Linked DNA regions of Arabidopsis thaliana. The protein of the gene in region 1 purifies or fractionates together with the protein of each later gene. This does not show direct contact. Each region holds a gene or a part of one and is shown in the gene's direction. Other genes may lie near its edges.

Region 1 (7,464 bases):
AGAAAAAGTTCCAATAACAGTCCCTATTGTAATGTCATCGCTCATCGGTCTTTAATTGACGTTGGTCTTAGTTAACACCAAAACGTAAATGTTAAGGTTTATGATTTCGAGCTCAAGAATATTTGGTAACAAAGAGACTGACTCATATTTTATATATATTATTTGGTTCCAATATACGTACTAATACTATTCTCCTATATATTTCGTTAGGTTCCAATATACCAGAAGAAAAATCTTATTGAGTTGCGTCAATCAGATGGGCCTTAACTCTCTAAACCCATAAGGTCTCTCAAGTTCATGTACCTTGGAGTTTGTTAAAATCTCATTTTCTCGAAATTTCCTTAAAATAATACTTTTGTTCAACACATGGGAAAAAGAATGTAACCATAATATGAAAAGAATAAAATGCACAATTACACAGCAAAATGTGGGGTACTGCAATTACAAAAGATGAAGTATGGAAACCATGTAAGAGTATCATATACTTTCTCTGCCGATAACAAGTGCTAGAACTTTTTTTTTTCTTTTTTTCTTATCTTCTTATTATCCTTGCCAATAAAATTGATAATCAATGTCATGTAATGAAAGAAACAGAAGATTTTTCTTTTGACTTTTTAACATTTTAAATATTGAATGTTCTTCCCTAGCCCACACTACACATTGAACATGCTTTGAAAAAAAAAAAACTATGACTAAAGATCACAAACTTATTAGTAACAGATTGTTTTTTTTTTTCGTTGGCAAGCAACTATTCTGCCTTAAAAGCGTTTTTGTAAACTAAACTTTCATTCCTAATTGATGATGATATTCACATTCACGTATATATAAAATATGTAAACGATATAGGAATCACACTTTAACAAAAAAAATTGTACTAATTAAAAATAGAAGAAGAACTGGCGCAAAATGTAAAAGCAAAAGAGAGATTCAAAGGGAGATTTGAGACTTCAGTTTCATGTGTCGTCATTGCCATCTTTCAACATCACCTAAAATCTTCAGAGAAGTCAACGAGGAAATCTCGTCCGTAGGATGATGAAATCGTACAAACTCTGATGATGCATGATCCTCAAAGTCATGGGTTCACACAATGTGGTTAAGTTTCTTCTTTCGTGTCAGAAATTATCAAATGAAAATGCGTCTCATTATTCTCGCCTACTTTTGCTTCTTCTTAGAAATTGCCTCCTCCATGCATGTTATTTCAAAAAAGTTCTTCGTCATGCATGTCTATAGAATTACATAAGCCCAAAATTATTCCTACAACCTATGAAACTTTGTTCTATGTCTATGGAATTACCAAAAGCCCAAATCAAAGCCCGTATAAGCCCATTCGAGATACTTTTTGTGTTCCTCATTTTCCTCTCGGTGCATATCCATATTCCATCTGTTTCTCTTCCTTGATTATCGGCCAATCATAGAACAAGAAGTAGAGAAAGCAGAAGATACACTACAGAGACAGAGAGAGGTAAATAAAAATCAATCCTTTAGATCTCTCTTATTACGTGTCTTTAATGATTCAATGATAATCTTTTTTGGGATCTTCTTGCTCACATTTAACTGATCTGATCTGATCTGATAAATAAACAAACTTAATAAAACATTTTCAAAATTCAGATCTTGACAAGATGGGTAAAGCAAGAGGAGTGAACAATGGCGTGAATGAAAGTTCTCTCGGTTATCTTTTTGGTTCCGGCCAGCCTTCTTCCGCTGCTGCTGCCACAATGGGGACTACTACTACTACAACCACCACAACTACCACCGATGGGACCGGAGGCAGACCGATAACCACCACGACGACCACAGTCACTGATAACAAGAAGACATCTGCAGGTGTTAGAGGAAGTCCTAATAATTACTTCAGATCAGAAGGCCAAAACTGTGGAAACTTTCTCACGGTAACAGGAGATCTTTAGTCTTTACAAAGTTTTGAGATCAAAGAATTGACTTTTGATTTGGAAACTGATAAAAACCAAAAATGTTTGTTGATGAGAACAGGACAGGCCATCTACTAAGGTTCATGCAGCTCCTGGTGGAGGATCTTCTCTTGATTATCTGTTTGGAGGACCAAGTCCTGCTGGATCTGGAAACAAATGAAGTTACTTGTAGTTTTTTTCCCACTATTCAGATTCGTGTAAATCATCAAAAGTGTTGGCTTTTATCCCTTAGTGAACCCTGTGTGATTCAATTGTGATGTTTGCCTTTTGTTCTCTTCTTTGTCTTGTTAAAAGGAATTTTCAGACAATGTTCTCTTTAAGAGTTCCAAGAAAATAAACTAAGTACTGATCAACCAAGAGATCTATATCAAATGAAACAAACAATGCCCACAAGATCTTGCGTTGAATCAGCCATGTTCAAAGCTCTGATCAATCGTAGGAGAAATGATTCGAATTCAGCCATATACTTACGTTTTATCATAGAGTAGAAAGAAACAGAGTCAAATCAACGACCAATTGTAGGAGAAAGGATTCAACTATTATAATTCATAATCATGCACTCTTCTTCAAGTTCTAAGATTTAAACATAGCTATAAGCCACAAAATCCTTAACAAAAAACTAAAACTTTTAGGGGTCAAAGACCACAATTCCGATACAAGAAAGCAATTAAGAAACTCGGACGAATCTGAGTCACGGTGAGAGTGCTCTAGAATCCTAGCTTGGTACGGCGCCAGTGCCTACGCTTAGCGTTGTACCTGTGTGAAGGTGATGGAACAATGGAACTCAGTATCAAAGTCTGCAACTTTTTCACGGATCGAATGAAAAAAGTTTACGAAAATCTATAAACCTGATTTTGTTATCAGTACGGAGACGGATCCAATTAGGGATCGGTCTGTTCTGTCTCATCTTCTTCCCTAGCTTCTTTTTGATCATGAACGACTTGTGCGACGGCTAATATCAGAGACCATGAAATCGATCAGGCGAAGGAAATATTTAAGAGAGATAGAACAAAGGATACAGAGAGGGAGAGAGTAAAAGTACCATCTTGACTTCAACGGTGGCGATCCGGCGGAACACGGCAGCGTTTAAACCCTAATCTTCTCAAATGTTAACTGAGGAAGAAATCGATTTTTATAAGGGTTGTGGACTAGAGCTCAATCCTGACCGTTGGAGTTTTCTCATAATTTATTAGCCGTCAGATAGGTAAACCGTTAATTTAGGAATCGTATTCGGTTCCGGTTACCTTTAACCGGAAAAGAAAAAAATATAGAGATTTAGGGTTTCATTTTCTTCTCTCTCTCTTGTCTCTGCTGGTCGGCTGCTGAAACAAGTTGTAATTGTGGTGCATTTGTTCTTCAGCGCAGCCGAGAAGATTCGAAACCGGAGCTAAGCTATGACGACGATTGTTCCCACCTCCGAAGAAAATCCCTTTCTCGCTGTTGTCCGATTCACTTCCCAGCTCGCCTGGGCCGATGCTGGTCCCGAGGTAACCTCCACACCTTGGTTGTGAATTTATAGTGGGAATTTAAGAATGTCTATCTTAAGTGAGATGGGAAATTTGATCTGGTATATGTTGTTTCGTTCGAAGAATCTGATTGGTTATGGAAGGGTTTGTTGATAGTTTCTGGACTAGAATAGTTTGTAATCTTTGAGGATTCTGATGCATCCGATTAGTTCAACCATCTAAGATTAGTTTCATTAAGCGACTTCTTAAGTTTTCAAGGCTTGCCTGTACTTAACTAGTTATCGTTTCAAATTTTAGGCAGCAGAGCCAGAAATTACCAGGCTCTGTAGGGAGGCTGAGGAGTCAATGGTAGCAGAGAAGTGGCTTGAATTGTCTTCGTTAATGGTCACTTCAGCTGAATTGGTATCTTCTAAGATATCTGAGAAAGGTTTGTGTTCCTATTCTTACTTATACCTGTTTATTTTGTATGTCTTTCGAGTATTCAATTCTCAGTGATTTGCATCTTTTTTTAATTCAGATCTTGAGTGTACCTACACCATCATTTGCAGCATTGTCAAGAATGCGAAAAGCCCTGAGCAAGTCCTTGAAATGGTGAAAGCTATAGCTTCCAAGGTTGCTCAACAACCCAGTGACAAAGCTTCACTTCGTTTGAAGATGTATGAATCGTTTCTGCTTATTTCTGAATGCTTTGCTCATTTATCACACTTCTCATTTTTTTTTTGTCTTAATCTTTGTGTAGCCTCTTCAATCTCTATAACCTGGTTGACCACCCGTATGCTCGATTTCAAGTATACATGAAAGCTCTTACACTAGCTGTTGATGGGAAGGTTACTGAGTACATAGTTTCTTCTTTTAAGAAGATCGATAACTTTCTGAAAGAGTGGAATATTGACATTAAAGATCAGAGGGAACTCTTTCTTGCCATTGCTAATGTGCTGAAAGAAAACAAAAGGTATTGAAACATAATTTATACTTTATAACTATGCTCATCAGTCATTCTCTGTCTCTTTCTTTTTTTGTTTCCGTTTGGGTATAACAATAGCCTCATGGTTTTTTCTATTAATACTCCAGCTTGGTGAATGAATCCCTTAAGTTCTTGACGAAGTACCTAGCAACTTTCTCCAATGAGGATGCTCAGGTCCTGGATGAAGCCAAGGAGGAGGCTGTGCGTGCAGTTATCGAATTTGTCAAAGCTTCCAGTATTTTCCAGGTATCATAATGTGAATTGGATTTGTCTTTCTTGTCCTGACACTGCTCTTTTATATTTGATTGGAATTTCAACGATGGCAATCTTAAATCTTGCAGTGTGATTTATTGGACTTGCCAGCCGTAGCACAATTGGAAAAGGATGCTAAATATGCACCTGTTTACCAACTTCTGAAGATTTTTCTTACTCAGAGGTTAAATGCCTACACGGAATTCCAAAATGCAAATTCGGGATTTCTGCAAAGCTATGGTACTACATTGTTAACTCACTAACTGTTTTTGCTGAAATATGATCTCCTGATGAATCCTGTGGTGTTTCTAGGACTTTCCAATGAAGATTGTGTTACGAAGATGAGGTTGTTGTCACTAGTGGATTTGGCCTCAGATGAATCTGGCAAAATACCTTACACCTCGATTAAAGACACTCTTCAGGTAAAAACTCTCCTCTGCTTGCACTTAACATGAAATATTGAGACCCTTTTAGTTTCTCATTTTTCTTTTCGTTTTCAGGTAAATGAACAGGATGTCGAGTTATGGATCGTGAAGGCAATAACTGCAAAACTGATTGAGTGTAAGATGGATCAGATGAACCAAGTTTTAATTGTCAGGCAAGTCACACATCTATTGAAACTCTGCACTTATCTAAACGCAACATTCATTATTTGATGGTTTGATTCATATCTTACAGCCGCTCTTCCGAACGTGAATTTGGGACAAAGCAATGGCAATCTCTCCGAACAAAGCTTGCGACTTGGAAGGTAACTACAAAAGCTTTCACTTATTACAGAATTTTATTACAAAACATCTCCTGAATCTGATTCTTATGTGTGGTTGTGTAGGACAACATTTCAAGTATCATAACTACCATCGAATCGAATAAGGTAACGGAGGAAGGTTCTCAGGCATCATCATCATCTGCTGCAGCTATTCAAGGCTTGAGTGTTCGTTGAAAAAGCTATCAAGAAAAACCGTTTCATCCCCAGAGAAGCTCAATTCTATAACGAATCTTTTGTCTTCCTTAAAGCTTTTTCTCTGTGTATTTGGCTGCAGGGTTTTTTTGATCTTTGAATCTTTTTTTTGTCCCTGAAACATATGCGGAGACTTTTCCTATACATTATTTTTTGCTAGTAATGTTTCTTAACTTGATGCTACACACTATTTCAAAAGTTTATACTGAATATCTTTTACTTCCCAACATGGAGATAGAGAACAAAGAAGTGGTAGCCATTTTCAAGGGGATCTAGTTAACCATCTAATATTAAAGCGTTGTACAGGAAGAGGACAGACAAGAGAGAACACAAAAAACTAAGCTACCAACTCTCTCTTGATGGGTTATATCAGTTCGAAAAACTGCAGCAGAAGAATTCTACACTTGATGATTCTTACAAGTTTCCATGTAGGAACACAATCAGTAACAAGGCCATTGCTGCAAACAGGGAACCGACTGATTTGTGCGAGCCGGTATTGGGCAGCCAAGGGTAAGAATCAGGAGGAGGCATCACACAGTTATCTCCATTGAAATAGATTCTTCTTGGAAACGCCCAACCTTTCTCAAATGTGAAAGCTGATGCTTCTTTCTGGAAAAGTAGCTCAGATTGTACATTACCAAATGGCCCAGCTTGCATCAACAGATCATTGTAGAACTTTATTCCCCAGAGAATCCCAGTATCATCTATATCAAATCAAAAACAAAAAAAACACATCAAGATTTGTTCCTTTCTATAGAAACAAGGGACTGATAGATGATGGTGTACTTACTTATGGAAGCATAAGGAGTCAGAGGTTTATAGTTGAAGCTAAAAGTCTGAGTTAGATTGTCGAAATTCGGATGCTGCACGACGAGATTCCACTGTGAATAGTTCATGTTGTAGTTGAAATTTGTGATGGTGACTTTAACTCTCCAGTACTGTTTGTAGTTGACTTTCACATGCCAGTGGATTCTAACTGGACACATATGCTTTGTACATTGGACCAGAGGCGGTATATATGCGTTCTTCCCCGGATTTGGAATGACTGATGCTATCCGTGGACCTTTTGGGCTGTGTGGACAGACAAGACACCAAAATTAACCAAACAAGTTAACATATTTTCAGGTAATGAAAGTTATGAGAAGAACTTACTCTACACAATTCCCTGGCTGAGAAGTGTTTCTGCATCCACAAGAGCATGTTGGACAAGAAACTATTGTCTTGTTATAAAACGATGAAAGAGATACACAGCAAGTTGGTGTTTTCTGAGCTAAGAACTGCGAGTATGTGCAAGTTACATTCCAAGTCACTGTCACAGCAGAAAAAGAAAAGCCAAAACTCAGTTTTCATTTCACTCAAAAGTCAAATTTGTTTTGGTAGAGTTCAAGAACTGAGTAACTTACTTAATGCTTGAGTAACTCTTCGTTTATCAGTACCGATGAATCTAGTCGGTTTTACAATCTTCGCGGGGCTACAAGTATATCCCGGTCCAGGAGCTTTGAGAGTGAAATTCTTAGGTACCCTAACTGTCTTATTTGTGGTTCCAGCTTGTCCAACAGTAAGCTGGAAAGCGGAAACAGCAGTTGCGGGATCTTGAGCCCACGAGTTAAGCACACCCCCTCTGCAACAATTAGCAATCTGCTGATTGTAAGGAGATCCAGGTAAGAGATCAACAACAGAAGGTGTCTTTTTACAGCAATGAGGAATGGTTCCTTTGAATTTAGAACAATCTCCTTGTTCTGTGGTTTGTCCTCCATTCATTCCCCATATAACCTCTCTCTTTGCCCATGACCATCCAAGAGTCCAACCTGGAGCTTGAATGTGTCGATATTGCTGAAAATTATATACCGTTACAGTCGCCTGCACCGCGAGAAGATTCAAGATTTTAAAAAT
Region 2 (7,464 bases), 130 kb from region 1:
GTGTTGAAGAGAGCATCCTCGAATCACTAACAAAACCAACGGCACTTGTCATTGTGGCCAACATGTTTGTGGTCATACATCTCTTGGGAAGCTACCAGGTACACCAGAAAACGCCTCTCATTAGAAGCAAAAAAAAACTTGTAGTTCCCCGCCTTAACTGATCTGCTTTGTCCTCCTAGGTGTATGCGATGCCCGTGTTTGACATGATCGAATCTGTAATGATAAGGATATGGCACTTCAGTCCAACAAGAGTTCTACGGTTTACCATCCGATGGACTTTTGTGGGTAAGTCTCTGTGATTTTTGCAAACCAAAGAAACTAAATTCACATTCTTTTCAGAGGAGTAGCATTTTGATGATTGATTAACTTACCTCTATATCGCAGCCGCCACGATGGGAATAGCGGTCGGTTTACCGTATTACAGCGCATTGCTGTCATTTTTTGGGGGATTTGTGTTCGCCCCGACCACATACTTTGTAAGCGCGAATACTCTACTCTTAAACTGCTCTTGATATCATCAAACTTCAATCAACATGTTAATAACTCTAACAAACATAATGATATGTTATCTTTCAGATCCCATGCATCATGTGGCTGATCCTAAAGAAACCAAAGAGATTTAGTCTCTCATGGTGTATGAACTGGGTAAGATGTTTGTAGTCCTCAGATCAAAAGCTAAATATGACACTTACAGCTAAGTTAAATCTTTTTTTTTGGAGCAGTTTTGCATCATTTTTGGGCTTGTGCTGATGATCATAGCACCTATTGGGGGACTGGCCAAACTAATCTATAATATTCAAAAGGGCACTCTACCTAATTCAAGATGCAACTTACCTAAACACTGACGATTGCCTTGTAGGTAACATAAATTGGTTGGACGCAACAATTTCGCTGGTACTAGAGTCTAGAGGCTCTATTACCAAACTCGAGTGTAAATCTATAGAATTAACTCTGAGACATGCTCCCTCTCTCTCTCGGTGCTGTCGGTCATTGGTTTATTGAATTAACCAAAATTTTACTCACTACACAAAGTGTTATTGATTGTTTACTCGGATAAAATGCCATCGCATTGGTTAAATATCAATCTAACTATCATTTTTTACAACAACTCATGTACACTTGACTGCTGTTATCCAAGACACAACACTCATGAATCTCAGTCGATTTCACCCTCTTCTACTTCATTGCCGGGATCTGGAAACGCAAGCATGTCGGATTCATCTTCATCCTCCTCATGTTTCATAAATAGCCCCAGCTGCTCTAGAGGATTACTTCCTCCAAACCCAAATACAGCCAACCCATCAGACTCAGAGCCAACATCTCTTAGATTTCGTAACTGGTCCGTGTTAACCGTTTTGAGCAGTTCTAGGTCCTTGAGAAACCTTGTGTTCTCATTTATTTCAACCGACTTCTCCATCTGGTGTACCATTCAGTCATGGCAATGATCAATATACATGTATTGCAGTTTATAAAACCAAACTGGTACAAGGCAGCAATTTTGATTTACCTCAAGCAATGCCTGCCGGGCTGCTTCTCTTTCAAGTTCCAGTTTCCTCTTAGCCTCTTGTGCCTCAGCTTTTCTACGAGCTTCTTCAGCTTCCTTGGCTTCTGCTTGTAACCGTGCTTTTTCTGGTGCACAAAACAATAAGAGGACAAGTTTATGTACGTATATACTACTTGGTATATATCATCAATCAAAAAATCGAAACTAGCAAATCAAGAATACCTTTCTTCTTTTGCAATTCCAGTTCTTCCTTCTCACGTTGCAGTGTCTCTGGGTCTCGTTTCTCATTCTGATCTCACAAATATAATTTTGAAAGTCAAAGAGGGAGGGCTAACCAGATATAACAGCTCACACCTCCACAAACACAGCTAACCTGATTAAGAGTTATCTCTTGAGCCTTCAAGATTATATCCGCAAATCGATTTTTCAATAGAGCAGCCCTGTAACGCTTTTCTGGAGGTAGTTCCTTCTCTTTTGGAGCACTATTTCCTAAATTATTAATGGGTCAAGAGTGAGATGCCACCCTCAGATATTAGAGCACAGATATTTTTCTGCTACACTTCTGAGCTTACCATCTTGATGACCATCTGCCCCCTCAATAAGACTTAGCTTCCCTCTGGATGCATCTTCCATCTGATTCAATCCACCGACGGAATCTGCTTTTAGAAAGGGAATAAGAAAACCAAGGTTTATTAATTAATATCAACAAAACTTAACATCTTTTGCACCAAAAGAGGAGTAATCACTGATTAGAGATAATATGATCACTATAGAAAATAGCAAACAGCGACCTGGGAGTAAAACAAGCAGAAAATGTAACAGGTCTATCACTATCATACTAGGTGTGTAATATGAGTTGCTATCAGTAAGGTCAGTAAGTTTCACTCCAAAAAAACTACAGAAGTAACATTGAGTATTCTAGATGGACGGCCACTTCTGACAAGAGGGAAGTAAAATGGTTCCGAGGGTTAAGTACATATAAGAATTGCAAACATCAAACGTCTGCAAAAGCTCCATAGAGAAAAAGACAAATACAATGTAGCAAGATTAAACAAACCACTGTAGTTCTCTAACGCCATACCTTTTTCTGTTCTGACAGTTGAGATGTGAGATATAGGGTGCTCATAATTACCAATGTCAACATCCTCGTCCTCCAATTCACTCCCTGCAAGTAACGAGGAGGAAATGACAGCTTAATCATAGAGTAGGACATGCGAATTAGCTCAAACAACAAAACCAGTGTATGCTAACCATCACAGTGTTGCGTCAATGAATTTCCTGGCCCTGACCCATGTAAAAGCTACATCAAGAAAGTTTTCGCTGTTTATCAGTCATGTTAACAAATGGATCAAGAATGAGATATAGAAAGGTGATTACCTCTAACACACAGGGTTCACCGTTTGAATCTTTCTTTTGATTTTCTCGCAGAAACTCATCAAAGAGATCCCGCAACTGGAACAAGGCATCATGACTGAGATCATTGATGTCAATCTCTATCTCATCATCTCCAGATCTCTCTTCCTTGGAGCTGTGATCTCTCAGGAAATTTATTATCTGTACAGGGAATTCTGTCAAGGACCCCAAATCTCTGCCAAGCTTTACTCTATCCTCATCTGTCATAACCCGCTTAGCAGGCTCTAAGAGGCTGTTACGTTTCACAGCATTCATCTTTCTCTTCTTAGCCACAGGCTCAGGTATCGCAATATCTTTGTGAGCAAGAGTAGCCAAGTTACTTGGTTCAGATTTGGTTCCGGATGACTTCTTCTCGATAGTTTTCCATCTCACTTCAAAAAACTTGCTGAGAGTATCAGCGAAGCGATACACATTATTATCTGACGGGTTATAAGTCATAGCATTGCGGAAAGTAAGACGGACATCAGCAGAAAACTCTGAAGGGCTTGAATACGTGCCGGAAGTTAACTTGCTTTTAACAGTTCCTAAATCCATAGGATGTTTGATAATGGTGAAATAATCAGGAATGTTGAGCTTGACGACGTCCACAGGGGTATTAAAGAGCCAACAATGCTGCTGCGACATCAATCGTTTAAGGAGGCTCTCACATTGCTTCATCCGAAGCATAGTGGAAGTGGTGACTGGCTCTGGTTTGGTTGCTGTGAAGGGGAGCACCCTTTTTCCAGGGCCAGTAGAGCATCGTGACATTCCAAAACTCTTGGGGCGAGACACATTACTTGCAGGTGTACTAGTAACAATCTTAGATATAGGAAGAAGGTCCCCAACACTCTTCTGAAAGGACCGTAGTTGTTCCAGCTCCTGACGAAGCGTATGAATCCACTTTCTCCTTTCTGATGATGACAAGTCAGACAAGGGTAAAACTATTCTCGGGACACCAAAAGTTTCATCATCCTTGGAAGCATTGGGGCTATCATCACAGCCGCCGGGAGAGTCAAAACTGTTACGATTATAATCTCCTGGGAAACCACCGTTCCTCACAGTCATGATATCGCCCACCGAAGTGCGAACCTGCACAAATCAAAATATTTAAGTCAGTTTTGAGAAACCCTAACTATGAAAACCTGAAAGCAATTCAATTCTTAGAGCCCTATAGTATTGCTGGAGGAGAGCAGTGAACACTCAATATGCATAAAAAAGGAAATTCGGAACTAACCAACTCGAAACACTTAGCAAGCGATCGAACCGGAGCAGAAGTAAGAGAACCGAGGAACAAGCGTAAATCTTCTCCAGCAGAAACAGATTAACGCTAGAGATTGGTGTAGAAGATGATGATGAAGAAGAAGATAGAGTAAAACCCTAGAGTGGAGACGAAGAAGACGACCGAGAAGTAGAGAGAGAACAAAATCGCTCTCTGCCCTCCCTTCTCTAGTGTCCCGTCCCTAACGAATGCTGCGTCTAACGCCGTTTTGCTACTGGGCAGGACTCAATCTGGACCGTCGGATCTGATCCCTCGAATTAAAATCGAATGCAAATACTTCGGTGCATAAAAATAATATCCTGGGCTTATAATGTAAAGCCCAATGAACTTTTTAATGTGCCTTTATTGGGTCTACGGATGACTCAACACGGCACGCTGTGAAAGCTCGAATCGCAGGAACGGCACGCGCTTTTTTCCTTCGAAAACAATTTCTTCTCCTTCTTCTTCAATTGATGGTTTGATTTACACATCCTTCTTCTTCCAGTTCCATGTCGCATACGTACACAGATTGACAGCGAAGCTAGTTAGCTCAGATTTTGGATCTCGAATTTCAGTTAATTCGATCCGGTTATGGACATTCTTTTTGCTCAGATCCAGGCGGACCTCCGTTCAAATGACGCGCTTCGCCAGTCATCGGCGCTTCTTCAGGCGCTGCAGCAATCCGCCGCCGGAAGAGATATCTCTGTGATCGCTAAGTCTGCTGTGGAGGAGATTGTTGCTTCTCCGGCTTCAGCTGTTTGTAAGAAGCTGGCATTCGATCTCATCCGATCTACCCGCCTCACTCCGGATCTTTGGGACACCGTTTGCTCAGGTGTCAAAACGGATCTTCATTTTCCGGACCCGGATGTTACCGCCGCTGCCGTCTCCATCCTTGCGGCTCTCCCTGCCTTCTCGCTTCCTAAACTCATCTCTGATTGCAGCTCTGAGATTGCTTCCTGCTTCGATTCTCCATCTGACAACCTTCGTTTTTCCATCACCGAGACACTTGGCTGCATCCTCGCGCGTGATGATCTCGTTACTTTGTGCGAGAACAATGTGGGTCTCCTCGACAAGGTCTCCAACTGGTGGGCTCGGATCGGCCAGAACATGCTCGACAAATCCGACGCCGTCTCCAAGGTTGCCTTTGAGTCCGTCGGCAGACTCTTCCAGGAGTTCGACTCCAAGCGGATGAGCCGTCTTGCTGGCGATAAGCTCGTTGACAGCGAGAACTCCCTCGCCATCAGGTCCAAGTGGGTCTCTTCCATGGTTGACATTGTATGGAGAAAGAGGAGCGCTTTGATGGCTAGGTCTTTAGTCCTTCCTGTCGAAACCTTCAGAGCCACTGTTTTCCCTCTTGTCTTTGCTGTCAAAGCTGTTGCTTCCGGTAGTGTCGAAGTGATTAGACAGCTTTCCAAGGCTTCCTCTGCTGCTGCTGCAGCTAATGCCACCGTTGTGGACTCCAACGCCGAGAAGCTGGTTGGCGTCTCAGATTTGGTTACCCATTTGGCGCCATTCTTGGCTTCCTCTTTGGATCCAGCTTTGATTTTTGAAGTGGGAATTAACATGCTCTACCTGGCAGATGTTGCCGGAGGCAAGCCAGAGTGGGCTTCACAGTCCATTATTGCAATTTTAACACTCTGGGACCGCCAAGAATTTTCCTCTGCTAGAGAGAGTATAGTCAGGGCCGTTGTTACGAACCTGCACTTGCTTGATCTGCATATGCAGGTATGTCGTTTTTTACTTCATTTAAGCTCGGTTAGTTGTGTACCTTTGTCTTGAAGCTGTGGCCTATGATTTCTGAATCATTCTTTTTGGAATTTGTTACGAAGGTTTCGTTGTTTAGAAGACTGCTGCTTATGGTGAGAAACTTGAGAGCAGAATCGGACAGGATGCACGCATTAGCCTGTATCTGTCGGACAGCTCTCTGTGTTCACCTTTTTGCCAGAGAAAGTGCCCGAAGAGGTCAGAAGCCTCTGCCTGGGACAGATATTATTTCTCTCTTTGAAGATGCAAGGATTAAAGATGATCTCAATAGTGTTACCAGTAAGAGCTTATTTCGGGAAGAGCTGGTGGCAATGCTTGTGGAAAGCTGCTTCCAGTTGTCTCTACCTTTGCCTGAACAAAAAAACTCGGGTATGGAGAGCAGAGTGATTGGTGCGTTAGCATATGGTACTGGTTATGGTGCTCTGAACTGGACAGAACCAGCCCTTGAGGTTGTGGAAGTTTGTAGGCCTTGTGTCAAATGGGATTGTGATGGCAGGACGTACGCTGTAGATTGCTATTTGAAATTGCTTGTTAGGCTGTGCCATATCTATGATACCCGTGGAGGAGTGAAGAGGCTGAAAGATGGTGCTTCCCAGGATCAAATATTAAATGAGACACGATTGCAGAACTTGCAACGTGAGCTTGTTAAGGATCTCCAAGAGGTAATTAAGCCTCAGCTGAAAGTTAGAAGTAACCCTTGGCAATTTTCCTCGAAGAATTTTAGTTAGGCTTTCTTAAGTACTATTTAATACTAAATGTGGAGGAGAACTATTGCTTGTGGACTGAAACGTGGTCAATGTCTTATAAAAATCTTGATCTCAATTTGGCAGGTAAATACCCCAAGAATCCTCGGGCGTCTTATATGGACAATCGCAGAACATATTGATCTAGAAGGTCTAGATCCACTTTTAGCTGATGACCCCGATGATCCATTGAATATTATCATAGCAAACATACATAAGGTTCTCTTCAACTTGGATGCCGCTGCTACTACATCGAATAGGCTACAAGATGTTCAGGCAGTCTTATTATGCGCCCAGAGGATGGGATCGCGTCATGCAAGAGCTGGCCAGTTATTAACCAAAGAGCTTGAAGAGTATAGGAACCATGCTGCTGCAGATACAGTTAGCAAACATCAAACCCGTTTAATATTGCAGAGGATCAAATATGTTTCAAATCTTCCTGAAAGAAAGTGAGCTTTCCCTTGGCTTGTAATCCTTTTATTATGTGAGTTTTACTGCATTTCTGGATTGGAACTCAGACAACCTATTATTTTCCAGGTGGGCTGGAGTTAGTGAGACAAGAGGAGATTACCCGTTTAGCCACCATAAGCTTACTGTTCAGTTTTACGAACCATCAGCTGCTCAAGACAGGAAATTAGAAGGTCTAATTCACAAGGCCATTCTCGAGCTTTGGAGGCCAAAGCCCACTGAATTAACTCTCTTCCTTACAAAAGGGGTCGACTCAACTTCTATCAAGGTTCCTCCCACAGCATATCCTTTGACCGGAAGCAGTGATCCTTGCTATATAGAAGCTTACCATTTAG

Evidence for each region.
Region 2: the proteins of AT3G02200 (region 1) and TPLATE fractionate together in Arabidopsis thaliana (co-fractionation; one large-scale study listed by BioGRID). This does not show direct contact.

Annotation. Positions count from the first base shown.
Region 1 is NC_003074.8:403,367-410,830, forward strand, and holds AT3G02200 (Proteasome component (PCI) domain protein), read left to right. Parts: upstream 1-3,221; 5' UTR 3,222-3,325; coding exon 3,326-3,418; intron 3,419-3,694; coding exon 3,695-3,824; intron 3,825-3,914; coding exon 3,915-4,053; intron 4,054-4,136; coding exon 4,137-4,349; intron 4,350-4,468; coding exon 4,469-4,607; intron 4,608-4,702; coding exon 4,703-4,853; intron 4,854-4,925; coding exon 4,926-5,035; intron 5,036-5,113; coding exon 5,114-5,211; coding exon of another isoform or gene 5,212-5,215; intron 5,216-5,291; coding exon 5,292-5,361; intron 5,362-5,442; coding exon 5,443-5,553; 3' UTR 5,554-5,834; downstream 5,835-7,464. Other genes in the region: SP1L3 (SPIRAL1-like3), read left to right, coding at 1,623-1,892, 1,993-2,091; AT3G02190 (Ribosomal protein L39 family protein), read right to left, coding at 2,639-2,687, 2,780-2,883, 2,974-2,976; COBL1 (COBRA-like protein 1 precursor), read right to left, coding at 5,986-6,275, 6,362-6,642, 6,724-6,880, 6,975-7,431.
Region 2 is NC_003074.8:274,426-281,889, forward strand, and holds the start of TPLATE (ARM repeat superfamily protein), read left to right. Parts: upstream 1-4,456; 5' UTR 4,457-4,745; coding exon 4,746-5,879; intron 5,880-5,983; coding exon 5,984-6,580; intron 6,581-6,748; coding exon 6,749-7,110; intron 7,111-7,198; coding exon 7,199-7,464. Other genes in the region: AT3G01760 (Transmembrane amino acid transporter family protein), read left to right, coding at 1-98, 180-285, 385-476, 577-645, 723-845; BET10 (bromodomain and extraterminal domain protein 10), read right to left, coding at 1,157-1,417, 1,508-1,629, 1,727-1,793, 1,878-1,993, 2,077-2,160, 2,586-2,669, 2,756-2,804, 2,882-3,961. UniProt on the Arabidopsis thaliana protein: Functions in vesicle-trafficking events required for site-specific cell wall modifications during pollen germination and for anchoring of the cell plate to the mother wall at the correct cortical position.